Caenorhabditis elegans: one gene and its partners. The protein of the gene in region 1 interacts with the protein of each later gene in a pairwise test. Each region holds a gene or a part of one and is shown on either strand. Other genes may lie near its edges. The genes, in order: mig-5, dsh-1, lin-36 and abl-1.

What was found.
Region 2: the proteins of mig-5 (region 1) and dsh-1 interact in a two-hybrid assay, tested with the Caenorhabditis elegans proteins (3 studies listed by BioGRID).
Region 3: the proteins of mig-5 (region 1) and lin-36 interact in a two-hybrid assay, tested with the Caenorhabditis elegans proteins (3 studies listed by BioGRID).
Region 4: the proteins of mig-5 (region 1) and abl-1 interact in binary tests that used the Caenorhabditis elegans proteins (3 or more experiments, as listed by UniProt).

What each region holds. Positions count from the first base shown.
Region 1 is NC_003280.10:8,180,658-8,187,336, forward strand, and holds mig-5 (Segment polarity protein dishevelled homolog mig-5), read right to left. Parts: upstream 4,367-6,679; 5' UTR 4,352-4,366; coding exon 4,313-4,351; intron 4,247-4,312; coding exon 4,098-4,246; intron 4,044-4,097; coding exon 3,890-4,043; intron 3,849-3,889; coding exon 3,773-3,848; intron 3,721-3,772; coding exon 3,243-3,720; intron 3,201-3,242; coding exon 3,078-3,200; intron 3,032-3,077; coding exon 2,706-3,031; intron 2,658-2,705; coding exon 2,133-2,657; intron 1,983-2,132; coding exon of another isoform or gene 1,970-1,982; coding exon 1,821-1,969; 3' UTR 1,666-1,820; downstream 1-1,665. Other genes in the region: dylt-3 (DYnein Light chain (Tctex type)), read left to right, coding at 1,161-1,167, 1,213-1,652; cct-1 (T-complex protein 1 subunit alpha), read left to right, coding at 4,789-4,864, 4,909-5,332, 5,377-5,682, 5,728-6,384, 6,543-6,679. UniProt on the Caenorhabditis elegans protein: Plays a role in the signal transduction pathways mediated by multiple Wnt genes. Functions redundantly with other dishevelled family members throughout development.
Region 2 is NC_003280.10:5,213,867-5,223,266, forward strand, and holds dsh-1 (DiSHevelled related), read right to left. Parts: upstream 6,809-9,400; coding exon 5,290-6,808; intron 5,176-5,289; coding exon 5,100-5,175; intron 4,802-5,099; exon of another isoform or gene 4,598-4,801; intron 3,789-4,597; coding exon 3,667-3,788; intron 3,620-3,666; coding exon 3,379-3,619; intron 3,325-3,378; coding exon 3,149-3,324; intron 2,711-3,148; coding exon 2,474-2,710; intron 2,426-2,473; coding exon 2,258-2,425; intron 1,966-2,257; coding exon 1,799-1,965; coding exon of another isoform or gene 1,757-1,798; exon of another isoform or gene 1,254-1,756; intron 1,179-1,253; coding exon 1,066-1,178; intron 784-1,065; coding exon 657-783; downstream 1-656. Other genes in the region: C34F11.1 (RING-type domain-containing protein), read left to right, coding at 1-31.
Region 3 is NC_003281.10:8,014,451-8,022,448, reverse strand, and holds lin-36 (Protein lin-36), read left to right. Parts: upstream 1-1,575; 5' UTR 1,576-1,578; coding exon 1,579-1,677; intron 1,678-1,733; coding exon 1,734-1,832; intron 1,833-1,907; coding exon 1,908-2,491; intron 2,492-2,592; coding exon 2,593-2,713; intron 2,714-2,788; coding exon 2,789-3,327; intron 3,328-3,428; coding exon 3,429-3,837; intron 3,838-3,960; coding exon 3,961-4,365; intron 4,366-4,431; coding exon 4,432-4,889; intron 4,890-4,937; coding exon 4,938-5,004; intron 5,005-5,219; coding exon 5,220-5,327; 3' UTR 5,328-5,801; downstream 5,802-7,998. Other genes in the region: F44B9.5 (Lipid droplet-regulating VLDL assembly factor AUP1 homolog), read left to right, coding at 5,912-6,035, 6,103-6,250, 6,806-7,075, 7,417-7,603, 7,648-7,803, 7,853-7,998. UniProt on the Caenorhabditis elegans protein: Required to negatively regulate vulval development. Antagonizes Ras-mediated vulval induction. Acts cell autonomously.
Region 4 is NC_003284.9:10,620,702-10,627,124, forward strand, and holds the start of abl-1 (Tyrosine-protein kinase abl-1), read right to left. Parts: upstream 3,489-6,423; 5' UTR 3,446-3,488; coding exon 3,444-3,445; intron 3,334-3,443; coding exon 3,278-3,333; intron 2,007-3,277; exon of another isoform or gene 1,882-2,006; intron 1-1,881. Other genes in the region: M79.2 (Phospholipid/glycerol acyltransferase domain-containing protein), read right to left, coding at 5,904-6,087, 6,140-6,257, 6,306-6,412. UniProt on the Caenorhabditis elegans protein: Functions downstream of migratory protein mig-13 and is involved in Q neuroblast migration during larval development.

The DNA of each region.
Region 1 (6,679 bases):
TCAAAGTAGAGCAAACAGGATACAAGACTAATAAAAGAAATATAATAAAGGTGCATACATAAAGCATTCACTATAAAATAACTATGTTTTCCAATTTGTTTTCAAGAAGTTGCACAAAGCCATTTTAAATTAATTTTCATTGTTATAATTGAATATGAAGTTAAATTTTTCCATTCCAGAATTTACAGGAAATCTAATTAAATAGTTTGAATGGAAACAGAAAGAAACGTTCCACAAACCTTGATCAAGAGTCTGTAGACATTATTGAGGTGCGCATATTACAAAAAGATTTATTGAATGATAGATATAAGAGGGATAAGTGTTAATGACCGGCTCATCTACAAACAATTAAAGGATGAGAGAAAGTGTTTGTGATGAGAAAGGCAAACTTGCCATGACGGACCGGAAATACTTTTTGTCTATTGGACTGATGATGACTTTTTGGATATTAGAGGAACTTCAAAGGTGAAGGTTTTTTTCAGTAAATGTTTTGGTCACTTGCTACATTTCCAAAACTGTGCATTTTCTGAGTAATTCGCATCACATTTAAGTAAACATTTAAGAGTTAATGAAATTTCAAATTATGAGGAAATCATAGTAGGAAGCAGAACATTTTCCGTAAATCACTGATGGCAAGCTAATCAGTCAGCTTTCCCCCCACTATTCCTTCGAACCGTATTTCCGTCTTCCACCACCCACCTTTGTTAGCTCAACCGACCCCTGCAAACATGTCAATTTCGGATACGGAACGCCATCAACATTACACAATTTCTGTGTGTCCGGTGCTCCAAACTGGTGCACTTTTAGTGTAAAATCTGGTACAGAGCCGCGGAAACAAAACAAAAACTTAACAACACATTTTATAATAAAATTAATTTTTTCGCTCCCGGTCGGAGATGCTGTGCCCACACCTTTTTGCATTTAAAAACAATGTTTCGTGTCGAGACCAGGTACCGTGTTTTTGGCACAAAAAGCGCAAAATTTTCGGGTCTAATTGTAAGTAATATTTTGAATTGGCACTAAACACTTCGCCTTCAGAGCGTGTTCTAATTACACGCACTGTTAAAAAAATTTATACCAGATTCTAATATATATATCAAATTTAGAAAACAAATGTTTATCGCATAACTTTAATTATTTCATTCATTCCTTGTTTCAAAATGACAGGTTAGTTTTCTTTGTCACATTATGCAACATCATTTGAAATTTTAGACACTTCTACAACTTCTTCTGTAGCAAAGCGGCAAATTGAATCAAAAAACGCTCAGCTTTTGAGACAATTGATTGAAAAGAAAAATAAGAAACTCAAAAAGAAAGTCTATTCAAATGCCGAAGAACAAGAAATTGATTTAATTATTCAAAAATCATTTGATTCAATAATTGGTAAAACTCCATATTCTCCATTCAAAATGTCTGATTGGATGAGCAAGATGATCCAAACAATTTCGGATAATTTAGTGAAGCTCAATGGAAGCAAAAAGTTTTTGGTTCATTGTACTATTTCTGCAAAAACCGATAATCTTGCAATTTGCACGGCCAACATGTGCTCCTGGGATACTACGAAGGATACTGCATACTACTCGGAATGGATGTCTAAAACTATCTTCGGTGCTGTCCAAGTCTTCTTCATCACACATCGTTTTTCGAAGTGAACATCGTCATGAAGAAATTTAAAATAATTCATAAATAGACTCAAAATTACATGAATGAATGAAAACGTTAGTCTTACTGAAATACATGAAAACAGGGCATAGTTTTAAATATTAATAAAGCATGTGGGAATTAAGGCGAGAATCGGTAAAGGCAATGAGTTTTAAATTTTAAGTCCGTAAAATACGCGTTCTGCTGTTGCTACTGTTCTCCCCGTCGAAATCGTGGTTGACTGCGTTCTGCGACTGAATCGGAGAAGCTGCTAGAACCATAGTACTGGATAGAGGAGTCGGCGGAGGGCCTCCTAAGCCACCACTTCCTGGAATTTGTAACTAATTTGGTTGGGGAAATACTGTTATGTGAAAAGTCATTTGGATACAAAGGGTACAGTAGTCAAGAAACAGCAAATACTATATCAATTGAAATGAATATTTGCTTCAAATTTAACTCCTGCACCCTATAGAAACGATTAATTTTCTCACCGTTTGTCAAGCTTGAGGATGTCACTTGAGAAGGTGCCGGTACCTGACGGTGATTATTTTTCGTCCCAAAAACATGATAATTTCCGACTGGATTCATTCCAATTTGGCTTTCTCCGACCATCGATGCGTAATCATTTGTCATAGGACTCTCACAATCTCGACGTCTTCGAAGCCATGTTTGGTCATGAGCAACTGGGCTTAGAGTAGTGGTTTCTAATCGATGAGGAATATTTCTTCCAACTCGTGCTGCCAGAGCATGTGGTGCTGGTGAGCCAACATACGTCACTTCAGTAGTTGCTTCAACTCGCATTGTAGTTCCACTCGTACCAGTGGTGTCCGTGGAATTACGATCATTGCCAAGAATTCCATCACCGAATACATAGTAGCACTTTTCTGTGAATGTCAACTTGCTGACGACATGTCTGATAAGACCAGCAGCTAACAATCTCGCAGCATAGATTCTAGCTTTCTTCCGATTATGAATATCAGCCATGTGATCAACGAGCCAATCGACTAGATCTCGGCCTAAACGTTGATTGTTTGGATCCTAATACTTGAATGTTCAGTACTCACCAATAAAAGACATTGGAACCAAAATTTTCAGCCATTTTCGATTTTTGACAGCTAATCCTGAATCCGGACGAGCCATAGAACGAACAACAATAATGGGATCAATCATTTCTGTGAGTTGCTCTATTTTTTCATTTTGCTCATTTTCTCGTTTTCTTTCTGCTTCTTCAATCAAAGCTCTTGGAATTCCATTTCTACGTTGATCGTAAAGCATTCGCTCCTCATCATCAGAAGCTGTCGATGTAAATGGAAGAGTTCCGTCATCAATTGTAGTTGCCGTTTGCTCCTGTGGATCCAAACCCAGAGCTTTCATTTTTTCAGTGTTCTGCCTGTAAGTATCAAATTAAGAAAATAAATCTTGCGAGGTACCCTTACACAGCGGTTTCTACCCAAACTCCAACGTCGAGGGGCATCGTTTCAGACGCCATGGACGCGAGTGGATCATCATATTCACTTGGGGCACCTCTTGCAAACTTACTGATATAAAGAGTAATTGGTCTAAAAATTAAAAAAAATTAATGCTAATGCGTAGAAAAATACCTTTTGGAGGATGCAGCTTCTCTGAGCGAACGAACTGCTTGAGGCCCACTGAGTTCTTCAAAGGATACTCTATTAACTTGAAGAATCTGATCACCAACGTTCACACGTCCATCTTTTTCAACGGCACCTTCTGGTGCAATTTCGGAAACGAATATATGACCATCAATTGTGCACACGCTCAGTCCCAGATATGGAACATTTTTCATTGGTAGATAAATTTCCAGAATTCGAGGGAGGCCGCTGTTAACACTTGATTCCGTCGCTGAGCTAATAGTACTTGGAACATACGGTCTTCTGAATCTTTCTTTCTTTTGTTTTTTCCTTCTTCTATCGTCATCGTATATCTTATTCATATCACGAGCAGCGAGAGGTTCGTAGAGCGAAGAATCATCTCCTGTTCGACGTGTATGCTCGTCATATTGATACGGATCCTCTGAATTTGAAGTGTATAATTCTGCCAGATGCTCTCCTGCTCTTCCTGAAAAACGTTCATACAGGTTTTTAAGAGTACATAAATAGCAAAAACTCACTGCTAACAATGGTGCTCGGAGCAAGACTAGCATCAGAGTACGGAGTCGCGTCAAAGTCTGCACTTCGTCGGCGGCGCTTAAAATATCAGTTTTTTTTGAAAATAACAGAAATCGAACCTTATCTAGAGCAGTTCTCTGTGGTCGCGTCATTGTTCCACTGTTTCGAGGAAGAGTTCCATATCCTGGAGTGCTAACGAGAAAAATCTCATAAAATCCATTCTGGGATTTGCGCAGCCGATCCGAATCAGTTGTTAATTCGACTTTAACTTCTCTGAACATTTTTCAGTACAGAATAATTACAAAAATTAAAAAAGCCAAAACTCACCGTTGAATATCCGGGTCAAGTTCCTTCGCATAATACTTATATCCACGCTTGGTGAATGAATTTTTGAAATTTCCAAGCGTCGCTACTCCTTCTCTGGCTTCAATAACAGAAACATAGGGAGTCGTTTCATCGTCGAGATAGTAGAAGACCTGGAAGAAAATTATTTCTGTTTAATCACTGGCTTAATAAAAAACAATTCTGATCAAAATTCTTACTTTTATCTGGCTGCAGTCTGATGTGCATGGCGGCTCCATAAATGTTAGAAATCTGAATTCAATATTTTAAATTATAGACCAATAAAATATTTATAAAAATTACAAGAGGAAACAAAAAAAACAAATTTGTTTGCAAAGGACTAGCGGAAACAATTTTATTTTTAATTTATCGGCAATAAATCGCGGGTGGGAACAATGTTGCAAATACGCCCTAGTGACAGCTGGTGTTGGGTCTCGGCACGATTACCCTTCTAGCATGCATGAAGTACGATGCGCTCTGAGAATATTCTACAAGAATTTTAATTTTGATTCAGAATTCAAGGGATCCCCGATTTTCTGGAAGCATTTTTATTTTTACTGAAATATTTTCATTTTTACGTATATTTTTATTTTTGAGTGCTTATTCAAAGCCCCTTTTTGACTCAATATCGAATGTCCTACTCTATTGCTAAGTTAATACGGTTGTGTTTCAGGTAATGGCATCAGCTGGAGATTCCATTCTTGCCCTCACCGGTAAAAGAACTACTGGACAAGGCATCAGATCTCAGAATGGTAACACCGAAAGCTCAATATAAGTATACATTAATTAATTGCAGTCACCGCGGCAGTTGCGATCGCCAATATTGTGAAGTCATCTCTTGGCCCTGTCGGACTTGATAAAATGCTTGTCGATGATGTTGGAGATGTCATTGTCACAAATGACGGAGCCACAATTCTGAAACAACTCGAGGTTGAGCATCCGGCTGGAAAAGTGCTTGTAGAACTTGCACAGCTGCAAGACGAGGAGGTCGGAGATGGAACTACTTCTGTCGTTATTGTGGCGGCTGAGCTCTTGAAGAGAGCCGATGAGCTTGTGAAACAAAAAGTTCATCCGACGACTATTATCAATGGTTACCGTCTCGCGTGCAAGGAAGCCGTCAAGTACATTAGTGAAAACATCTCATTCACTTCCGACTCGATTGGTAGACAATCAGTTGTCAACGCTGCCAAAACTTCCATGAGCAGTAAGATTATCGGACCGTGAGTTTGGTGTTGTCTATGCTTCAAGAAAATTGATTTTTCAGAGACGCCGATTTCTTCGGAGAGCTGGTTGTTGATGCCGCGGAAGCTGTTCGTGTGGAAAATAACGGGAAAGTCACTTATCCTATCAATGCAGTCAATGTTCTGAAGGCCCACGGAAAGAGCGCTCGCGAATCAGTTTTGGTGAAAGGATATGCACTCAATTGCACAGTTGCCAGTCAGGCCATGCCACTTCGTGTTCAAAATGCCAAGATCGCATGTCTCGATTTCTCTTTGATGAAGGCTAAGATGCACCTCGGTATTTCAGTCGTTGTTGAAGATCCAGCCAAGCTTGAGGCTATTCGCAGAGAGTGAGTTGAAACTATTCGTTTCTTTTTAAGCTATGGAATTTTCAGAGAATTCGATATTACCAAACGCCGCATTGATAAAATTTTGAAAGCCGGAGCCAACGTTGTTCTTACAACTGGAGGTATCGATGATTTGTGCTTGAAGCAATTTGTCGAATCTGGAGCTATGGCTGTTCGTCGATGCAAGAAATCAGACTTGAAGAGAATTGCCAAAGCTACTGGAGCCACATTGACTGTTTCCTTGGCTACTTTGGAAGGAGATGAAGCTTTCGATGCCTCGCTTCTTGGACATGCCGATGAAATTGTTCAAGAAAGAATTAGTGACGACGAGCTCATTCTCATCAAGGGACCGAAATCTCGTACTGCCAGCAGCATTATCCTCCGTGGAGCGAACGATGTGATGCTCGATGAAATGGAGAGATCGGTTCACGACTCACTCTGTGTTGTTCGTAGAGTTCTGGAAAGCAAGAAACTTGTGGCTGGAGGAGGTGCTGTTGAGACTTCTCTCAGTCTTTTCCTTGAAACTTATGCACAAACCTTGTCTTCTCGCGAGCAGCTTGCTGTTGCTGAATTCGCTTCAGCGCTTCTCATCATTCCGAAGGTTTTGGCAAGCAATGCTGCAAGAGATTCTACTGATTTAGTGACAAAACTCCGCGCGTACCACTCCAAAGCTCAATTGATCCCACAACTTCAACACCTCAAGTGGTAAGTGAAAATGTTTTTTTTAAAGAGTAGGTTATTACATGTTAGCTTAATGTAATAAAATTAAAATAATTTATTTCAAAAAATTTCGTTTTGTGCTTAGAAAAAGCGTCTAATTCATGTTTTCTGAATTTGAGTCAGTTTATTCACTCTTTTTTTAGGGCTGGTTTGGATCTCGAAGAAGGCACGATCCGCGATAACAAGGAGGCTGGAATTTTGGAGCCAGCTCTTAGTAAGGTCAAGTCTCTGAAGTTCGCCACTGAGGCAGCCATTACGATATTGCGTATTGATGACCTCA
Region 2 (9,400 bases), 3.0 Mb from region 1:
TCTGAAAAGGCAGAAGCAAAACCGTCCATAGACTTATGTCATGAATACAATAAATTATTGTTACTGAAGTTTTTTTTTAATTGTACAGGATTATAATTTTACGCGTAGCCTTCCATGGGGTTTAGTAAGACTTGTCGCAAATACGGACAGAATGAACCTCTCCTATTCTCGACTAACTTCTGTTTAGAATATAAAAGGACTATATCACCGGCTTATGGCACTCGACTCACTCCACCGAGCGGCGACACGTCTTAAGGAACCACCCTGCAAGCAACTCCAACATGGCCAAACGTCTACAACAACAAAGGAAACCCTTTCACACAGGAACTCTAGGATCAAAAGGATGCAATTGAACTGCCAATAACACCGTGGAACAACCTTTGCTACCTTTACGTGAAAAGTCATATCCGATGTCTATATAAGGAGGAAATTGTGGAAGAAACATCAGTTTTGAATTTACTCAAGTGAACTCCATTTGCTAATGATAATATATAAATAAAGTATTGTTAATAAATGAAGTTTATAAATAAGCATTCCACTGAACCGCCTTCGCGACAAGAATTAAGAAGGCGGCGGATAAGCAAAAATCTTGAATAAATAACAGTTTTTATACAGCTCAAAAAGTAAGCACCAAAACATTGAATTAATATTAACAGTTAATACTCGTATCTTTGTCCAGTTGCCATAAGAAATGAATTATTTGATTCTTCATAGATTGTAGAACTATCATCAAATGGAACATTTGCAGACGATGATGGTTTTCTGGGAAGAACAACAACTCGTCTGAAATATTTTAAAATTATATTGGGAGTTATTTCGAAAAACTATGTCAAAAATGTTAGAGTCTACCGTGTTATATAAAATTGGAACTTTTGAAGTCAGAGAAATTCAGACGAAAGTTTTTAAATTTCCAGTGCCTCACACTTTTCACTTTTTTCCAACTTAAGAAACAAGTTCTTTTGGTGTGGTTTTGAATTTTATTTTTTTCTTGAAAATGTTTAAAAAAGCTATATATCTTTACAAAATACAAAAATTTCTTTGTATGTTTATAGTGGAAAAACTCACTGTTTTCTAATTCCACCGCCACTACTTCCACTGGTTGTACTTCCTTCTCTTCTCTGTTGCTGCAATTGAGCTGGTGGGAATGGTGAAGCCGGCATTGATGCATATCCACTTACCTGTTTATATATTTTTCAAATAATATATTTCTCACTTTGCAATGTTCGTGTGGTGTGAAATATAACAACATTCTTTTGATTCAGAATATTATTTATTATTCTGTCATTCTTGTGGGTGGCAACATTGGACTGATACATTTACATGCTACTGAGAAATGAGGGGGCGAGAAAATAACAATGATATCGAATATAAACAATAATTTTAGGGCAAATGCAATAGAAAACAAGACGTTTTTTTTCTTAGTATAGGGTGCATCTATTTCAGACAAGGATGTGGGGAACTCGTGAAGAAGATCGCAATTCGTGTGAATTTGAGAAGGAAATGCAACAAAAAATCGACGGACAGATTCAAAAATAGAATAATCAAATAAAGGAAAAACATCCAAAATTACAATCACCGGGAACATATGAAATTTTGATTCATGATTGGAGACTTAGAAGTTACAAAATATTAAATTAGAACTTATTGTAATACCGGGTACATGGTGTACTGTGAGAGAAACTATTTTGAATTATGCCATTTTGGCATTGATTACCAGACATAATGAAACATAAACATGAAGAAAAATGATGACATTCTAAATGTGCATTACATACATGCGCGATTCGCCGTCGCTTACCATTGACGGAGCCATCCCTTTAAAAGCTCCAGGAGGGCCAGCCATACCTCCAGGTAAATGTGGGGGTGGGAGCATCACAGAGCTTCCGTTGCCAGCAGACATTCCGTTCATTCCGATGGTCCATTGGTATTTGGGTCCACCATCTTCATTTCGGAATCGGGCATAGTCTGGAAGTAATTTAGAAGATATAACAAGAAGGGTTGAATTTCATGTTTTGAATCAGGCAGGGCAGCCTTGAATGCAACCAACTTTTTTGCATTCCTATGGAGATTACAGGCAGACATTTTTGTGCATCAGTGAAAAATTTGTTTTAAAAATATAATTTGAAAAAAATAATTTTTTAAAACAAATTTTTAACATTTCAGTTCAAAAAAATTGCATTAAAGATTTCAAAAGACCCACTTCCATCTTCATATACAAAAACTTTGACATTTTCCGAATAAATGTATACTTTCCTACCTGAACACTCATCTCCAAGGACATAATAGCACTGCTCAGTGAATGTGACCTTGTTCACCACATGTGCAATATACTTTAATTTCAGTAAATCCGCCGCAAAGTTTCGTGCTGTCTTCCGTTCTCGAAGCCCTTCAACATGATCCAAAAGCCATTCGACCAGATCAGATCCTAAAATTGAGAATTAGAATAGGCTCTACACGTTCATTCAAAACTTACCCAAGAACGACATGGGAATCGGAATTTTGAGCCATGTTCGATTTTTGATATCAAGACCAGAGCCAGGCATAGCCATTATTTCGACAACCTTCTTTTTGTCAGTGTGTATATCAAGAATAATATGAGCTCCGCCGCCGACTACTGTATTTTGACCATTTGATCCGTTTGAGGTCACCGTTGAGCTGCTTGGCGGTCGACCATGAGGCCATTCACCAGGAATTGGTGTCGGTGCACTTTCTGGAAAAAATTTTTTAATTAATAGATATTTGTAGGAGAATAACGTAGAAGAAGAACAAAAAACAACATCGAGGCTGTCTTCCTGCCTGCCTACCTGTTTTCAAAATTTTGGTGCAGAAAAAAGGTTTGACTTAATTTTACATTCAGCCTTCAAAATTAGAGATGTGAAAAATTTCATATTTTTATTTTTGTTTCAAAAAAAAATTGAAAATTCCAAAAAGCTTTCCAAATGTTGTTCTACTTTAAAATATCCTAAAACATCAGAAGTCTGAAAAACATCAACTTGAAAGTAGCGAAGAAATGCACTGAATAAATTTCAGCCTGAAGTTGAATAGGTTGAGAGTGCAGCTTATAATTTTGCAAAAAATAAAAAGATCAATCAAATAACAGGCAGGTATTTTGTTTAGTTTTTCTACACTTCCAATCAAAAAACCATACCTTCAACTATACTTGGCATTCCTCTCATTGCATTCGTATGCTGGATCCATGCTTGAGTATCGATTGGTCTCACAGGCTCTTCTCTGCTATTCCTTGGTATTGTGAAACAACTTTGCCCATTTTCAAAACTTTTCGCCACAGTTAATTTGATGGGGCCACGACGGCTAACAGCTTCTCTGAAAATTCATATGTTGAAGAATAAGCTCTCAGTAAAAAATAATAATTTTTACCGTAACACATCAACAGCTTGATCGTTAGTGAAATTCTCAAAGCTGGTCTCATTGACTTGTAAAATCATATCACCAGCTTCAATTCTTCCATCCAATGCCACTGCACCTCCCTTCATGATATTTGCTACGTAGATTCCATTATCACCACAATTAGAAGTTTGACCAACAATTGAAATGCCAAGGAAATTGACTGTATCCATATTGAGGTTCACTGTTATTACATCAAGGCTCATAGAGGACTCTGGAATTCGAATGGTAAAAGTTATGCTAATTTCGAAGAGGTCATACCTGTGATACTTGAAAACGAAGATGCTCTAGAGGGTTTTCGGAAATTTCTTTTATTCTTCTTTTTCTTTGCCATTTTTTCATGTTGTCGGGATACTGATGTGAAATCGGTTGTTGTAGAGCCTCTGAAAAATTGAACGTTTTATAGTTGAAATTGTTATAGATTTTTCAGAATTTTCAGTCCAACTTTTGAAAATTGAGTCTTATTGAGAAACTTAAAGAAGCTTTGCATATTCGATGCCCCACAAAATAAATACAAATGATTTTAAAATTTAAAAAAAAACTGTAGAAATTTTTTAAAATCGAATTATTAATTTATGATAAGCGAAAACTGGTTAATTTCCATTTTGGACTGTAAATAAAAATTTCATAATTTTTTGAAAATCTTACTGTGGTTTTCAGTGATTTTTGCAACTCGTGAGTAACTTTGAACGTTATCAACTAAAATTTTACATGGTTTTCACTAGCTAAAAAAGGAAAACTAATGAGAATTGTGTTCCGTGAAATTCTAAATATAAGCGGAGCACTGCACAAAACAAAATGTTCAAATTCCTTAAAGTTACAACCTAGAAGTTTGTTCCACAAAATCCGAAAAGAACTGAAAGATTTATCGAAAGCAATTATCCACTTCTCATCCATCTCTTTCCACCCGTTCTCACGTCCTTTTCTTCCCCTCCCCAATTTTTATTAGTTTCCTTCAAATAGTGCACAACACTAAGAGCTTGTTGTGATAGTCACTACCAGGCTTTAGCTAGAAGATAAGCGCCAAGCAGGAATTGCTCAAATTTAACGAGCTGTGTCTTATCGCAGAATAAATGAACTGACACGTCGCGAGTTGTGGCACCCGTGCTGCTCGGCGGAGCTGTTCCAATTGCATAGTAATAATCAGAAGTTGAAGTGGAAGTTGTTGAATAATAGGCTTTACCATCAGAGCTTGCGAAATCATCGTCAGTTATGTAGCCGCTCATTTCACTATTTGAGGAGCGGAAGGGCGAAATCATTGGGGGCAGAGTGAGCGGGGATGAAGGCCCGCTTTAAGCCTAGTCATTTGTCACTTTATGTGACAGACAGAGAAGACACAAAAAAAGGTATTAACTATTTGAGAGGCAAAATGAAAACCATCGAATTTTTGAAAATATTTAAAATTTAAAATTTCAAAGGGGTATTGCCTATTCGTAAACTTGGTTTTGTTTTTATGAGTTGTTATATTTTGAATGTAAATTTTTTTCAATGTTGCATATTCCTTGAGATAGCCCTGCAAGACCTGAATGTAGCCCTATTATAACTTAAACTTTTGCTTTAATTTTTTATAAATAAAAATTTGCCGAATAAAATACACTAAATTTTGAAAGGAACACTGTCACCAGAGTACTGGCTTTACATAAAAATTCAATGAAATGAAACCTATGTTTATAAAATTAAAAAAAAAAACATACCTATCATCATCATCTGAAAATACTCTTGCATCGGATTCGGAGCCAATTGTTGATTCTTCGAGATGTCGTCGGTGCCCTGGAATTTAAGAAAACTTAGAATTCGATGCTTTTTCAAATTTTCATAAGATTTTGTTTTTTGAACCTATTACCCTTTACTTGATCACATCATTTTTCGCCATCATTTACCTACCGATCAAATAAAACGATGCATCTGCACTAAGTTCAGAGGTTAAGGATAGATGTGACGTCCTATGTAGAAATCCAATAAGATGTCTTCTCGGCGAAGCATCCGGTGCAACATCTTTCCTTCCTTGATAAGTACTTGTTGTATTTGATCCGCCGTACCTTCGCATTCTGCGCTTCTGTGCTCGATCCGCTCTCTCCTCTTCCACCATTGCCGCTGTACTTGCTGTTTCTTCCTCATAAAGTGGCGGAAGCGATGGACTAGTTGGAATCAGTGACATTGTACGGCTCATTGTGCTTCTTCGTGAAACAAGAGGTCGGCAATCAGATGATAGACCACTTCCATCTACAGTGACCGGCCGACACCTATCGATTCGGTTCAAACTTCGACTTTCAGATATAGTAATACTAGGAATAATAGGTGGACGATCGGTGGTTATTTGACACGTTTTGGATTTTCTGAGCTCCCTAGATGGCGGAGCAAGTGAAACAGGGGAATCAGGAGCCGCAAGGGAAAAAGTTGGTCTGGCTAATGCTGCAGCTGGTGCAATGAGATCCGGTGGTGGTGGCTGAGGTGGGCTCAGATTCTCTTTGAATTCTTTAGTATTAGATCGAGAACTTGATGGTGATGGAGATGCAGACCGAGATTTTGAACCACCAAGTGAAGTTAAAGACGTTAAACTTGCAGCCGAGTGGGACAATCTGATAAGAGCTCCAAAAAACGATGAAGAGGCGGAACCACCACCGGACTCTTTTCCGTTGGCGCCTCCTGCACTTTTTTCGCTTTGTTTCCGTCGTTGTAAAAATCTGCGCTTCGTTGTCGTCTTAGTATTATCCCCCTCTTCGTCGTTACAATCATCTGATGCTTTGCTGGTGCCGGGAAACAGGAGAGCCCCCTCGCTGAGCCGTTTTTTAAGTGGACCACCGAGCGCATTTGAGACCATCTGTCGCCATGTGGATCCGGCAGGTGTATGATTATTTGTGAGATCAGTTAAAGTCCGTTTTAATCGAAATGGTGCCTCAGACTCCGGCTCCACACGACTTTTACTTCTGCTCTTCTTCAACTTTTTCCCCGTACTTGGTTGCTGCTGGCTTCCTGAATTTTCCTTATCATCAGAAGCTTTGGAGGAAGGGAGAATGTTGTTCAGAATTTTCAAATTTCCTAATGGATTTCCTGTATATTTCTTCCTTCTTGGACTTTTTACAACTTCCGAGACGATAGTTTTCTCATCATCAACCAAATCAAGATCATCAATCTTAGCAAGTGGTGGAGCCTTTTTCTTCTTTTTTGGTCTTGACGATGTATTTGTAGGTGACGTTTTCAACTCAATCTTGTTAATCAATTGTGATACAACTCCCGGCGAGTGTTGTCGATTTGGTGGAGGAGCCGTGTATGTCGAACGGACTTTTCGTTCTTTTGAAGTGAATAATAATGAGCGAATCATATCAGATGAAGTGGATGGGGTATTTGAGGAGCCAGAAGGAGATGGAAGGGCTCTATCTCGAGCTCCAAGCTTGATACTCATTGCTCGCTAGTGAGCTATGAGCAATCGTGTCGTTCTCTAGAAAATCGGTTTTAAGTTTTTGATAGTAATAGAGCTGGGAAGTAATAAAAAAGCTTGAAGGTAATAAAAAGAAGAGAAAGAAACGAGAAACACACCTCGATGGGGGGTCATAAATTTCCCAGCATCCCATCTTGTGGCTCATGATGCACTTGGATTAGAAACAGATACTTTCGTTTTACTTTTATCATGTGCTGGGAATTTAGAGAGAAACTGAGAATTTAATAGTCGACACATCGGGAAAGTTGGTACTCAAAATAATCCTGTTGACACCATAAACACTGTCGTTAAACTTTAATCGGACTTGACATATGTCATGTTAAATCTCAATTGACTCGACTATGATAGTGACATCTAAAATTGATAAATTCCTATATAATGAGAAATGCAAAGATTGAGATATTATAATTTTAATATAATATAATTGGTCTATGAGTTTGTTAAGATTCAAGCCATAACAGTAGAAAAATTTAAAAAAAACTCAAGTTTTTATACGCTTAAATCTCGATGTTATTTTGAAAGACAAATGTTTGCTTTCATTTAACTTTTATTTAATTAATCGTTAACATTCACTGATACATCTAATAAAATTAAAATTATAGTTCAATACGTTTCGGTCGAAACTATGTGGCTATCAATTAATAAGATTTTCCCCGTTTCGCAAAAGAGCTTCAGAATAAGTGTTACCATTTCTCAACTAACAAATTTCTTCAACTGGTGGGCTGGAAAATGGCACATGACAACTAAAACCAAGAGCTCACTATCAGTTATTTATATCAACAAATTGCAACTTGACTTATGGCTCACAGTCAAACACCGCAGAGATCCAGAGGAAAACACAATTTGCTATGGTCAGATTAAATGGCAGTTGCTTAAAGAATATTGATCGAAAATTTTTCATCATGACTAGTTGAACAAAGAGTTGCAAATTGATCTCACTGAAACATGTTGCAATGGCTCTTGATGATGACGAAGTATAAAATCAAATGTTTGAATCCACCTACACACATGGGCTAGCAAACATTGATCGGAGGCAGGAAAAGCGGATAAAGCATAGAAAAGATCATTATCAAACTGTCTTTTCTCCCCAAAATCCCGATAGGTATCATGATAGAAATCACAAGTGAGGGATATCCGAAAGTAAATAAAACCACAGATCTCACTATTATAAGGCAGATATCTATTTTCGTGTTAACGAGAATGAGAGCAATATTATGAGATCCTGGGGTGGGTACTAGAGACTATTTCGACACAAAAACGATAATAGTGACAAGTAGAAACATACACAGAAATCGACAAGTGAGCGGACAAAAAAAACTAACTAAAAGTGGGGTGAAGTGGTATGAGGTCTCGAGAAGAGTGTTCAAGTGGAGAGAGAGACAGAAGGAAAGCATCTTGATAAACACTGTGATAAACTCATCGGTCTTCGGGTTTTCATTCCCACTGACGTCGAGCACAGAGATATAGAGAACGGTTTCTCACAAAAAGTGGTGGAGCAAGCAAGGAGCCCGGTTGACCCCCTAACAGAGAAGTTCAAGGACTAATGTTACAAAAGATCGAGAATTGGATGTCAAAGAACATATTTTTCCAATTAACAATGCTTACAAATTCTACCGTACACTACAGTTCTTAAGGTCGCAAAGAGATATTTTTGGTATCTGGTTAATAATTTTTTATTCTCTAATGTCGAAGCTAAACTAAACTAGCTGTGACTTGTTCGCAATTTACCATTTTCAGATGTCATTGTCAGATATTTCAGAACAAAAATTTTTGAAATAAAACAGCTGGGTAGCCTTTCAATGCAACTAGATATCCTGAAAATAATAATCTATTTGTTTCAAAAGTAACAAAATACTTTTTTTTTAATTTTCAACAAAAGAGAGTTTGGATGAATTTCTAATTTGGAGGAAAATTAAAACAGATTATAAAATACGAATTTTATAGAATTTGAGAATATGCTCCTCAGATTAAATTTTCAGAAAAACACAATGAACTAAAATACTTTGAAAAGAAGTTGTACACAAAAGGGAGAATTTCAATTGATTTATACACCCAGCTACCAGGTAATAACCACAATTATGTGATTTTAATTCCACGTAATCACACTGGGGAAATCATCGATATGTATGTGTGTGTGTGTGATTAAATTGAAATGAAATGAAATGTATGTATAAACATTGAATGAAAGCAAAGAAGGAGGAGATCTCCACTCATTGAAATGTGTGTTGGTTGGTTGACTGGCAGCCAGCCAACAAGATGAGCCCAGAAGATAGAATTGAAACAATTGGTCCTTTCTCTGTGCTCTCTCATTTCTTTATGATCTATGAGAAGTGATCTGGGAGATCGGCTCATTAACACCAACATAAAACATGAAAATCAACGGAAGGACATGATGGGGTGAAAGTGTTGAAATGATGTGATCAAGATTTTATGAGGGGAAGTTTTATTGGGTTCACTGACACAATGTAAAAGTTTGCGAGAACTTTCTTAAGAACTTTTTGAGACGAGGTTTTTCTTCCAATTTTTTCTGAAACACTTGGGACCAAGTTCATCGTG
Region 3 (7,998 bases), on another chromosome or scaffold:
TGTACTGAGTTTTGATGCTTCATAAAGTAGAAAAAGTATGCGAGATTGGTTTTATTCAAAAAAAACTCTTGTAGTAGTAGTGATATGGATGGCATGTTGGTTGTTTTGTTGGCAATAGAGAAATTGGCAGAACGACGGAAGAGGGTTTAGAGGCCATTTTTACACTGTTTTGAGCCCGCCTGAGTGAGCATTAAACACTGAATAGTGTGTAAGATGAAGATACGCAGAGTTGCACACGGACTTGATCAGTGAAATCGGGGGAGGAGAAGGAAGGGATCCGAGAGATTTTAGACTTGAGAAGTGAAGATAGGTTTTTGGAAAATTGACACCTGGAAATTTAAGATTCATGCATGAACATTTACGCGAGCTACAATTTATTGTAACTTGATTAAACCATGAAACAATTTTTTTACAAATGCTTCCCTAGAGAGGCCGGATATTAAAAGTACAGATGGCAGAAAACTTTCATTTGTGTGAGTACGGTAGTCTGATTGTTTGTTATTGAGTTTAAGAATTTTTCACTATTTGTTTTTTAATGTGTTTCTTGTCTTTGGGGGTTTAAGTCGACTCCCAATAAGAAGTTATACCGTAATCGCTTTTATGAAGAGATGTCTAATGACTTGTCATCTTTGAAATCTTTTGCTCGTGCTAAGTATTGTATTCAGACGAATAATACATTATAATTTTCGAAAAATGTAATCACTTCACAAGCCAGGGCAAGAATTGCGCTTCTGTATGAGCTGTCACCAGATTATGATTTTTAATTGTGTACGGAAGAAAAATTGAGAGCATCTTAAGAGGAAGATGCATCTTCTGAAATAATTTTTCTAAATAAAAATCAGAATTATTTTTCAGCATTCCACCCAGATTACGTGTCTGTTATAATCGTTTCTGGAAGACATTCTATTAGATACCGTACCCCGAAAACTAGAAATCCTATTTCTAGTTTTCGGGGTACGGTATCTAATAGAATATGAGTACCTGAGTAAACATCACTTACTATACGCATATGTTTGCTCAAGCTTCTACTATACCTGAACCTAGAGAAAACTGTCTTCCGTTCGATTTAATTTGGCAACGAAATGTTCCAAGCTTATGATGTTCCCGTTGTAATTAATTAATTCCCCTGCTTTAAATCACTTATTGTTAACGAATATGTACTTCTCAAACTCCTGGTGTTATCTCCGTGGTATTTTGGATAAATTGGTGTCAATCATTTATACAAATGACCTGTCTCCATATTGATATCATCAATTCAACGTCCCTCCAGTTCCAAGTCGCTTGTTCGGCGAGAGAGCGTAGCAAACGGAGAGACGTCATAGAAAAAGTACGCAACCGCGCGTGGCGGTGTTTGCGTACATCAGATGAGTGGGAGCCAGAATTGTACAAAAATTGGCCGGACAATTATCGATTTTTACACTTTCGACTCATTTTTCACTTATTATCAATGTTTTTCGTTATTATTTGTATCTCTTGAGCGTTTTAAACAATTAAATTCACTGTATTTTCTGTTTTTGTGCTCAAAATGTGTAGAATTTGCAAAAGAAAGGCTTTTCCAAAAATATTTGATTGCAGGAAATGTCGGAAGAATTGCTGAGTACTAGACCCAGTAAAAGGGATTATAATGATATTGAAGAACCAGAAGACTCACACGTGACGGTGCACTCAGTTGAACAGGTATGGTGATAATTGAGAAACATTCTCGCCGCTTATGAATATCAATGCATTTTTAGGATTCACAGCATTCTGGTGAAGAATCCTCAACTGTAGACGCATTGCAGGAAACTGAGGGTGATGTTGACGTAATAGGAGAAGATGAGGACGAACACGATGTACGTTTACATTTTCATTCTCGTATTAATGCATGTGCCCATTGGCCGGAATAGAATACATCATTTTATTTTCAGATTCCCGTAATGCCAACTGTCACATCAAGTGGTGAAGTTCTTGATGAAAGCCAAGTCACTCCAACTAAACAAGCTTCGTCGTCACAACCAAGAGAAGAAATTATCCACGGCAAAGGCGAAAGTGTCTACTCCAGTTTTCCGTGCCAAGTTATTCCGGAGACTTTAAGCCGAATGACACGAACTCCGCCAGATGGAGAGCATTTAGAAGTGTACCGGATGTCAAATGGGAGACTGAGAATATATGTTGTTGATCATTTCAAGAAGTTTTCTCCATACTCCAATTTGACTCATAAGCCATGTACAGTTTGTAATCGAGTAATGAAATCGGGAGAGATGCATCTAAACTTCCCAGCAGACTTGGATAGGCGCAGAATTTGGGCAAATTTGCTTGGATTCAAATACAAAGATATTCTTCGCAGTAAAATGGGTCCTGTATCGTTTTCAATTGCTGCCGGTCCAATTTGTACTGAGCACTTCGCCGAGGAGTGCTTCAGGAATCACAATTTCAACAAATCTGCCATCGAAGCTTTTGGAGTTCCTGTTGCTATTTCACCAGACGTTAAGACGACACCGAGTAAAAAAAGGTAAGAAGAAAAGCTGGTTCTGCTCGAAACGAAAAAGCTTGTGAATGAATATGTTAGCTCGATTTTTGGCTAAAACATCCTCTTTCACGATTTTATAAAAGTTCCAGAGTGCCATGGGTCTGTACCGTATGTGAGTTCCACTCGTGCAGTGTTGTCGAGCTTCAGACACATCTTCTCAATCACACGGAGGAAATGCTCAAGAAAAAAGATAATGTTTTGGATGTAAGTTCAAGCTTTTTAGTTAATACTCTTATTTTATCACATAATTCTTATAACAAAAATTAATATTTTTCACAGGTCCCAGAAGCTGGCTTCATGTGCCCATTCTGTAGAAAATGCACATATGGTTACAAGACAATATCTGGATATCGTCGTCACTTGAATGCTGGCCCCATTCATCATTGTCATCTTCGTAGAATATATGAATTCGCTAAAATGAACTGCCGCGCTACTGAGTTGGATCCAGCGGAAAGCTGGGATAACTGGACTCGTCGCAACGTTTATGTGGCATATCACGGCTGTGAACCACCAGCAAATGAAATCGTACTCACACCTTCACCAACGAAAAAAGCCTACGTGCAAAATCCAGAAGAGCGTACGAAAATGGTTCACGATGAAGAGAAGAGAAAGAAGGCAGTGAGGACATTATCGTTTGTTGGAAAAGAAGGTGGTACAAGTGTGAATGATCTGAACGTAATGCAGCGACAAGTGTTTCTGCAATTGAGAAGAGAAGCAGAGATTAATACAAAAGCAGAAGAATCGGCTCAAGGAACGAAGGAGCAAGAGAGCAGTCAGAAAAAACATGCAGAAGAAGAGTCAGACGATGTTTCTGAACTGTAAGTTTTGTCAAAAAATGTTCGAGTTAGAGAACATCCTGCGTAACGAAATTTAAAAAATCTTACTAAATGGAAATCAAAGAAGCAATTAAATTTTTTAGAACTTCCCATCAGTCTCCACAAGCTCCAATGGGATCTGGTGAACGACGTAAAGCAACACGTCTCGCAACTTCCGCTACAAATTCACCAATCAAGAAGGTGGCAAAACACGAAGTTCCTGCTACAGCTCCATCAACTCCAGCTAAGAAACGGAAAATTTCACACGAAGAAGAACACGATCCAACTCCTGAAAGTGTAGAGAGAGAACCAACAGTTTCACCAAATGATCCACGTGAACGTCTTCGTTTGAAGGAACGAGATGAACAATTTGCCAAAATGGTTCAGAAAAGATCTCAGCAAGTTAAGCGATTGATCAATGCCAAACAATTCAAGAAACAAGAAGCAGCAACGAAGAAGCCGAGAAAGGCCTTGGCTTATAATTTGGCCAAAGGGATCGCTGCTACTTCTTCGGTGAGTTTTATTTACTGAATTTATTAAATAATAGATTAGAACTTAATTTGTAACTTTTGAAATTCCTCTTTTACTTTGTAGCATGTTGAAATTCGAATTACTAGGATAATGTTTTTTATTCAGACGGAGCCAGAAGACAAAGTGACATCTTCGGAGCAGACACCAGAACCGACAACAAGTCAAAAATTTATCGCCAGAAATACACGATCGAAAACTAAGGAGAGTGCTGTTCAAAAAGTTGAAAAACCAGCAACTCCTGTCGCAAAACCGGCACCAGTAGAAAAAGAGCCGGAAGAACGCCCTCTAAAATCAATGCTCGCGAGATCTTTTGTTGCTGGAGTTCGTCCTTCGATGGCTAAATATCAGATTCCATTAGAATCGTTCACAGCTACTGCATCACTTGGTGGAGGACGTTCATTATCTTCTGGAGTCATATCAAGACCACCAACTTCATCCTCTCCTGGCGGGATCTTTTCTCAAAGAGTTATGGGAGCTGTTGCACAAGAAAAAGGGCCTGCTAAGAGACCGGTAAGTTTAATATATTAGAATTATTTATTAGGAGACTTTGATATTTTTTCTAATTTATTGCTTCAGAGTGTGCTCTCCCGAAGACCACTGATCCTTTCACCACGAAAAAAAACATCAACTCCACGACCAACACTCTCCCATCACGAGTCATCGCCAAACTTCTCAGCATCTTCTCCGGTGGTTGTTTCTGATGAGTATCTGATTCCAGCAACGGATATGGAAGTTGAAATGGTCGAAGAAGTCATTGATTCTATGGGAAACTCATCGTCTGAAGATGTTGCCACTTCTTCAACATCTTCCGAGAGGCAACCGATGCTTACGCTGGCAGAGGCTCTTGAGATGGATGGTTCAAGTGGAACAGTTAAAGATCAAGATATGGAAGAAATCTCAAAAGAAATGATGAAAGATGCTCATTACTACAGAGCAATGGAAGACGCTATCAAATGTCGCACCGTGACGAAAATGCGCGCTGACATGAGACTTTCCCGTCATTGCATCCGGCAAATTGAAGCTGCGAGAGCCAGGTGAGCCCATGGGAGGTCTACTTTGATAAATCGTTTAATTTTTTGCAGAGCTCGTCTGTTTGGCGAAAGGACTGAAGATTATCAAATTTTCTACTCTAACGATGGAGCACAAGTGGTATGTTTTTATTAGTTTCAATTCTGAATTTTAGTAACAATTTTCGTTTTTTAAAAGATTTTATTTATGTTGTTCTCAATTTGAAACCATTTGCTTTGAAAAAATTCCGATTGAAACATCAAAAATCACTGATCACAACACAATTTATTTTAAAAACATGTTTTCTCCGCTATTTGGCGTTATCAATCAGTTTGTTTCATTCTTATGATTTTCAGCTCACCAAAAAAGATCCAAAATGGCGTGAACTTCAACAACAACAACAACAACAACAACAGCAGCAAGAACAATTTCCAGGACAAGGATCATCGGATTCTCAACAATAATTATTTTTAATTATCAAAGAAAGTGCCTCAAAATTCAAGATTCAAAAGTCAATTGTCCTTTCGAGGATCGCCCCACATTTCTTTCATGTGAACTATCTCTGTTTTATATCCACAGAAGTTATCCCATTTTACTTTCATTCGAAATTCTTGAAATCTGATAAAAACTCCGACTAGGATAGATTTTCGTCTAGATTTTTAGGATTTTCACATTTACTTTTTTCCCATTTTTTACCCCCCCTCCCCCCTATAATTTACTTTCCAAAATTAATAGTTTGTTTTACTTTCCATAAGCCCCCGCCCCCTCCCCAAAAACCACACTTTTTCTATCATAAATTAATCTGAATTATTCACAAAAAATGAGCCAAAGTCTATTTAAACGTTTCCCTAGTTTTCAATTACATTCAAGTTTGAAAGATATGTGCGTTTGTGTGCCAAATATGACTAAAAGTCAATAAATAAATGATTTTGCTTGGTAGGTTTTTGAAAAGAGTTTTCAGATTATTTTTTCTATAGGCTACCTGATTATCCATAACATTATATTTTGAAAAAACCATGAAAAATTTAAAAAAATCCTAAAATTTAGAATGGCATCACCAGAAGCATCGTCTTCTGGAAATACAGAAGATCTTCGTATCGAAGATTTATTCCATCAAAAACGAAATGAAGATACGATTGCTAAAATATTTTCGATTATTTATGCTCCAGTTGGTGAGATTTTTTTCAAATTTTTTGACACATTCCAAAAAGTAAAAGTTTTAAAAAATCAAAATTTCAGGTTTAATTATTCTTTTAATTCGTGTTTTCCTCGGTTTCCACACATTTATTGTTGCATGTCTACTCAGAAAATCTGCTGCTTTGAGAATGCACACTCTTCGAATTATGTGCTCAATTCTCGGAATTGTCGTTGAAAAATCTGGTCACAGGTTTGTGATTTTTTTTTTGAAAAATATTTGATATCTCCAAAAAAATAGAAACAAGTTACTGAAAAATTGGAAGCTTGCCGTATTGCCCAGGCGCAAATTTTTTTGCGACTTCTGTCCCAAAAGTGAGGTACCTGGTCTCGAAATGACAATTTTTTTGTTAAATACAAAAACATGTGCGCCTTTAAAGAGTACGGTAGCTTTAAAATTTCGTTACTGTGGATTCATTGATTTTTCATAGTTTTTCTTACGATTTTTGTTAAAATCAATGTGTTTTAAGTGTTATTTTAGTTTTAAAAATTTATTTTAACGAAAAAACTTTGAAAAATTGATTTCAAAAATTCCGCAGCAACAAAAGTTCCATATATCCATTTATATTTTACAAAAAAAAAGTTTTTCAAGACCCGGGTGCTGTACTTTTTTTGCAAAATGAAATTCGGTAATTTTTAGTGTATCTAAAAAAAATTAAAAAAAAAAGGTCACTAACTATTCCTTAAAATGTTTTTTGCTTGCCGAGATATTCACAACTTCTTAGTATTAAAAAAAAAAGATTTTCAGAGATGAATCAGCTCGAGTTTTGTGCGCCAATCATGTATCAATTCTTGATCATTTAGCAGTTGATATTCTTACTCCATGCCTTCTTCCATCTGTTTGGGATATTCCATCGATTATTAGATGGTGTTTTGGATATGTAGATTTGGGAGCAACACGTGGAAGAGATCAACTTGTCAGTAGAGCCAAACAACTACTCACCAGAGAACAAATGCCACTTCTCGCATTTCCAGAAGGAATTATTACTAGTGGAGAAAAGGCATTGATCAAGTTTAAGTATGTCATTTGAACTTTCCAAATATTTTGTGATTTCGATTTCAAGATTTTTCAGCTAAAAATATGGTTTGTCACTACAAATTTGTGAAAAAAAATCTAAAAATCTTTTTACGCATTTTCATCAATTTTTCATAGTTTTTTTCATAAAATATAAAATTCACATTTTTAATGAAAAACTATGCAAAATCGATGAAAATTCAGCATAAATTAGGATTTTAAATTACAGTACTCTTTAAAGGCGCACACTTTTTGTCGGATAAAGAATTGTCATGTCAAGACCGGGTACCGTAGTTTTGGCGCAAAAATCATGAATCTCGAACCCAAATCTACTAAATTTTCAGTACTTGGTGTTTCGAGGTGTCTTCAGTAGTTCAACCCGTCTCAGTGCGTGTGTGGCGTCCGTATCCTTGGAAAGTTTCAGTTTCAGTATTGGGTTCTTCATGGTGGACTGATCTTTTCTATTTCTTTGCACTTCCGTTTACTGTTATCACTGTCGAATATCTTCCGAAAATGGAAAGACGAGAGAATGTAAAGAAAAATTGGAATTTCCAAATAAAAACAATTATTTCTAGGAATCACTCGAAGAATTCACCGCCCGAGTTGCCGAAACGTTGGCTGGAAATTTGAAGATTGCAGTGTCAAAGTTTGGAATTTCGGACGCAACAGAAGCAGCAAAACGGCTTAGAACAGATAGAGAACGTGCGAAAAAAGTTGTCGTTAGAGAGAAGGTATTTGTTTCCAATAATTTGTTTTCTTTAAAAAATGAAAATTTTCAAGACTTCACCTAGACTTGCGGATCCTCGTCAAATGGACGAATGTGCAATGAGAATCAAACAATCATTTCCATCATTCCATTTATCTGCAATTCGACGTGATTTGGAGAAAACTCGTAGTCAAACTACAACTGTTAATAATTTGAAAGC
Region 4 (6,423 bases), on another chromosome or scaffold:
TGTTTTGGAGGTTTTTCACTATTTGAAACAGTAATTTGATTTGTGATTAATTATTTCGAAGAGTTAAAATGTGATTTTAATGTGTTATCAAATATGGATATATTGTAAGTAACCAGTAGGATTCTTCGGATGATTTTTCAAAAATACATATTTGATATATACCGTATTTCTTCTATTAATATGGCCTCCCTATTAGACTTGCACTCCCTATTAGTATTGCTCCTTGAACACCCTCCGAAAATTAGTATTGCACTCCCTATTAGTGTTGCACTCCCTAATAGTATTGCGTCTACTTTTTTTTTGGTACAGACCCACCTCACTAATTTTGAGATTTTAACAACATTTTTTGCCTACTTTGCAACAATTTGTGGTAAAATTTTTATGAAATTGAAGTTATTGTACCTTTTTGTTGCAATTACAATCAAATTTTCACTTTCACACAAGGTTCGAGTTTTTTCAGAAAAAAAATCAGAAAGCTCAAAGTCAGAAAAATTTTCTGAAAATTAATATTGCACTCCCTAATAGTCTTGCACTCCCTATTAGTATTGCAAGCGGGAAGACCATCGAACAATAGTATTGCAGTCATATTAATAGAAGAAATACGGTATACAATTTTCAAAACTTCGAAACGAGGTTTATATTAGGTCTCCAAATAAGTTCCGGGTCAAAAATCATAACTTTGTTCGCTGTGTATCGATTTTTATGAAACTTTGGGAATTTATGTTATCAACCATGTTCTTTCATTTGACAATAGTCGCAAAAATTTTTGTACACCTCAAGTGTCCTAACTCGGAGCCAATTTTTCCAGGAATTTTTCCTATCTCGCTTCTTTTAACCTTTGAATTGAGGTTTGTGTGCGGATTTTGCTTTGCTTAAAATACATTATTAGAAAACGACAAAAGTTTAGAAAAAAATCCGTCCAAAAAATTTTTTTTAAATATATAATAATCGTTTTAGTTTGAAATTTGAATCTCGAGAAATATTCAAAAAACTCAAAAATTATCCGAAAAAATTATATTTTCTATTAACATTTTGGTGTATCGAAATAAATTGATATGTTTTGTATGTGTAAAAATAGTTCACGCTTGTTTACATCATTTTTGTAGGGAAAATCTAGAACTTTCGACAAAATTTTTTTTGAACATTTTTTGACGACCAACCAAAAAAAAATTTTTTGGACGGATTTTTTTCTAAAATTTTGTCGTTTTCTAATAATGTATTTTAAGCAAGGCGAAATCCGCACACAAACCTCAATTCAAAGGTCTTCTTTTAGAAGCGAGATAGGAAAAATGCCTGAAAAAATTGGCTCCGAGTTAGGACACTTGGGGTGGACAAAAAATTTTGTGACTGATGTCAAATGAAAGATCATTGTTGATAACATGAATTCCCAAAGTTTCATAAAAATCGATACACAGAGAACAAAGTTATGATTTTTGACCCGGAACTTATTTGGAGACCTAATAGATTTTTCACTTAAAAAATACATGTAAGAACTGTGATTTGATAAGCAAACACATACACAAATCCGGAACCGGAAGATTTTAAAATTAGTATTCTCTTTTCTATTTCATAAAACTTTTATAGTTTTGTGTTTAATCACGTTATGAAAAAGATCAATGATCTGAACTTCGTCAAATCTGATTTAGGATATATTTTGGTTGTTCAGCTCGGTTTGTCTGATGTAAATTATTTTTGAAAATTCTACTGAAACACCTAACTGATTTTATTTTTTCAGATAACAAAAAAAGCAGAGACAATGCCGTTTCTTCGAGAGTAACACAAAATTAGCAAAACTATTCAATATTGTCACATGCCGTGTCAATGTCTAGGGAATTGTAAAAATGGGTGTGGACTTGCGAACGTTTATATTCATTGTATACGCGTCGCACCAAATCCATCATAAAAATTGGATAGAAAGAATGAAGAACAGGAGGTTGGGTGTCCCCCGTGGTTCTCAGTCCCACACAGAAAGGAAAATGTGCCAGAGCACATTTTCTAATTGGTCAACGAGAAGAAGGGCGATTCGTCGTACTACTAACACAAGTCCAGCTGCTTCTCTGACCCAGGGAGAAAAAAGATGGGGGGAAATGGTAAATCTAGTTAAAACTGGAGTGAAGTGAATAAAATGCGAATAGTCAATAGGGGTCGAGCATTTATAACTGCGAATATGGCATTGAAACCTATTGAATTGGAATAACAAGTTGGAGAAGCGACGTTTTGCCGGGAGGCGGCAAAGCGGGAAAGGGGAGAGGAACTGGATTTATTCCATTTTTTTCTATTCTTCCAAACTTCCTTTCCCAAATAAATTATGCCTAAACCTTTTAAAAGTGTATAATTTTATAAATATTGTAGTTTGTAAAAAATTATGATCTAATTATTCTAGATGAGTAGAGAAGATACACTTGATTGGATAGTCTCCCATATTTGGATCACGCATGCGTTGTCCTCAAACTAGGGACCGGGAGTTGACGGACGAGGGAAGGGAGATGTGACCTCTTGGTTTGTCTGCGTCCCGTCTTCCACTCATGCTCTCTTTCAATCCACCATACCAGCTATTACTATCTCTACTCTCGTTTTCTTCCGCGTCTCGTTTACTTGTGACTTTAGAAGAGGATCTCTCACCCTCCCCACACCCTCTCCGGCATATATCTACAGCGAACGGGAATACGAAGGGAACCGAACACTTGGAGGATTAGAGAACCTAACCGCATAAAGCATTAAGAGCGGTTCTGAATCTGTCATCTACACTCGAAGGGCCTTATTGTGGGCAGACAATTTCGAATGAGATTGTGACAATTCATCGAAAAGTAGAAGGAACGTTAAAAACAATACATAAAACTTAACATACTGTTTTTCATGTTTTAACATGAACTTTTTTTTTTTGAGAAACTGAGAAATTACAAAATATTAGTTTTATAATACTTTACGTATAATTTATTTTACAATTTCGCCTTATTTTCTTTCAAAACTGAGAGCAGCTTCCTTTTTTTGAAAAATAGAAAAACAAAAGCTGATACTTCAGAAACAATCGTAAACTTTATCAGTACTTTTTTAATGAGTTTCAAACAATAATCATTTTTTTAGGAAAACTTTTGAATCAACAAATATTCATTAGTTTCGTCAAGTTAATATTTTTCAAGGCTGAATTTTTCCAAATGGTATGAAATTATACCATTCAATTTTTTTTTTGAAATCCAATGCCAAACTCAAATGTTGAAATTATATTTGTTTTTAGTTGAAAAGTAATTTTCACAATTTTCAAGCGCAAAATGCTTACCACATGTGAAGAGTTCATTGTCATTGATTTCTTTCCCAGTACTATGTGAATGACCCCTGAAAAACATTTTCTTCTTTATTAGTATATGTTGTTCGTAAAATTAAAATAAACAAAATACCATGGCCTTATAGTTTTTGAGAAGAATTATGAAATGAACTGAACTCACATTTTTGTTAAGTCCTACATGGGAGAATGTTTTGATGTTTTCAAAGTTAGAAAAGCCTGAAAATTATGAAGTTTGGCTTGAATTAAAAAAAAGAAATAAAAAGAAAAAATCGAAGAAGACAAAAAAAAAAGAACATGGAGGAAAAAAGAAAGGACGCGCAATTGGTGTGAAGGTATGTGTCGAGTACCCGGCTGCCCTCTCTTTTCTCATAACCCATCCAGTGACCAGCAGAGCGCGCTTGCATACTTCTCACTCGTTGTTCACTGCTTATTACTGCGCACTTGGTTCAACACTAACGCCTATTCGCTAGTCAAACAATAACAACAGTTCCTGTCAGATAAATAGTACTAAGCTAGAGGAGATTGGAAACGCGGAGTAGAGACTACAAATACTTTGAACTGATTGAACTTATATGCATACGAAATGAATGGATAATGTTTAAACTGGATATAATTAGTTTTTAGTTGTTTTACAAAATTGTGGTGATTTAATAATTAAAAAAAAGTTATGCTATTCGGATATTTGTGTATTCGCAAAAACCATAGTTTTAAACCAATTAACAAATTGTCAATTACAAATCTAAAATCTAACAATTATTGACAAGACCATACATATTAATAAACAAAAAAGTTTTGCATTGTAAAACCAATCAAAACTTGTCGCCGTTCCTTTTTCGCTATGTTTTATACAAATCTGCGATACGAATTCGTATCGGTTGAAAGTGTGGGGATGAAGTGTGAAATGAAACAAAAAGTGTGATCACAAAGAATGGGACGAGAGGCCAGGAGGTACTCAAAACCCCCGCCAATTTTGTCCCATAAAAATTGGAGCGACGAAAGAGTATGGGAATGCAGTTTGAAATAGAAAAGTTGAACAATAGGTAGTATTCAGATTGACGCATTTTTTAAATGGAAATCAAAACTAAAAGAATCAAAATTTTGAAGAAACAGTACGGTATGCCTCTGAGGGTTGGTTGAGTGAATTCTAACTCATTAGAAAATTGCTGTCCTACTATTTTGAAAACAATAAAAGGGCTCCTTAGACTAAAATATGCTGAAAAGTACCTATCAAGTTTTAAATAAGTTTAAAAATTTTTGGAGATTTGCATTGTTTCACGGACTATATAATTGTACATGAAGCACTAATTTTAAATTGTGTGTTTAAGAATAATTTGTTAATTGAGAACAAATTCCATACTTGAAACACTCAATAAGAACGCACTCTAATGCATACAATAATTCTTTAAAAAAACTCCCAAGTTTTAATAATTGCTGACGAAGATGTTTTGGAAAACGTGATCTCCAAGTAATGAATGCTTGGCAATTACAAATAACTTTTTGAAATCAAAAGATTATATGTGGTTGTATTTCTCCATAAAAAAGTGGAATTGTGTGTAGGGTTTTCAAAAGATGAAAATAGGTTTGTTGTTATAACATGCATATGTAATATGACTATGAAACTGTGCTATTTTGCTAGTGTTAGTGATTTTGATGGTGACAAAGTGTTCTATTTTCGATAATTTTTTTTATTTTTCGTCTTTTCTCCTCGTTTAATTGTTGGAAATTACACATTTACATATTAAGTCTACTAAAATTCTTTCACATTTACATATTAAGTCTACTAAAATTTCTCCCATCCTATTTTTATTTAAACCAGTCGTTAAAAAAAATAGCTAAAATAAATCCAAATACGAAAAAAAGTTGAAAGTAAACTTTTGTAGAGTTTTTTGCGTGTCGAAGAACTTTGAAAATAGTAAAGTTTTGTGAAATGCGCAGAACAAAAACTGAAACTAAATGGGAACACACAAAAACACAAGAGAAGACGAACATCGACAAAAAAGTTGGTAGTAGCTGCTGGTTGGCGAGGAGAGGATAATATCCCGAACACGCCAATAGAATGAAGAGGGACAAAAAAGAACACAACAAGATGTCGATGCAAAGGACGAATTATTCCTTTTTTCCTTCCATTTTTGCCATTGCGTTCATTCGAAACAACTTCTGGAAAGGAGATTCCTAACAAAGTCAGGATTGAAAAGAACGACGTAGTACATATCTAGTGAATTTATTGGTTTTTTAAAATTGCATACACATATACCTTAATTTTTTTTATTATAAAACCCAAAAACGTCGCCTCTCATTTAAATTCTGTTTTCCAGTTACAATGTTTTTTTTAATTGAAAAAGAGTGAAATTACCGATATTTTAATTTTTGAAAACTTTTTGAAAGTTTTTATTTAAAATTAATTTTTGAGACGCACATCTGTGTGTTATTTTTTCTATTTTTGTATAGTTCATTTTCATCAGTATTTTTTTGTGTAGGGCCGAATAGCAAAACGCAGTTTTTTTCGAGTTGATAAAAAATATTTTCGAAAAGTATTTTAAAGTTTTTATTATGAAGACACGTTTTGGTTGTTGTTTTAATTTTCAATATGATTTAATAACAAAAATTACAATGTACAAATTCAGTTCATAGCCGGTATCACATTTTCCTCACACTGGTTCTCCGAAACAGATTCGAAATCGTCGATGCTCAAATTATCACTGCTTCCTCCTCCACCAGATATCCCACTATCACTATTATTTCTGCTTCCAGAAATATCATGCTGAGTTTTGAGGGTTTCCTTCAGTTTATTCCTTTCTTCTTGTCTGGAATGAGACTCCGTTTGAATTATTTGTTTTTCTTGATGGGCTCACTCACTTATACCAGAGACTTCCTCCATATTCACATGATGGAATTCCGGCTGCATTCGCAATGACTTGCTGAATTCTAGCAGCAAACAGAGAATTATTTTCATGTTCTTTTCGTACTTCCATAGCTAAAATTTTTTTAAAGGAATTTTACATAAAATACATCAAAAACTCACGAAGATATTGAATGTCATAGACAACTGCCCAGTTAAGCATAATTCGAACTAAGTATTGGAAAAATTCGTCTTCATACCAAAAGCCATCTCCAAACTCTGGGGATTGCCTTAAAAAATA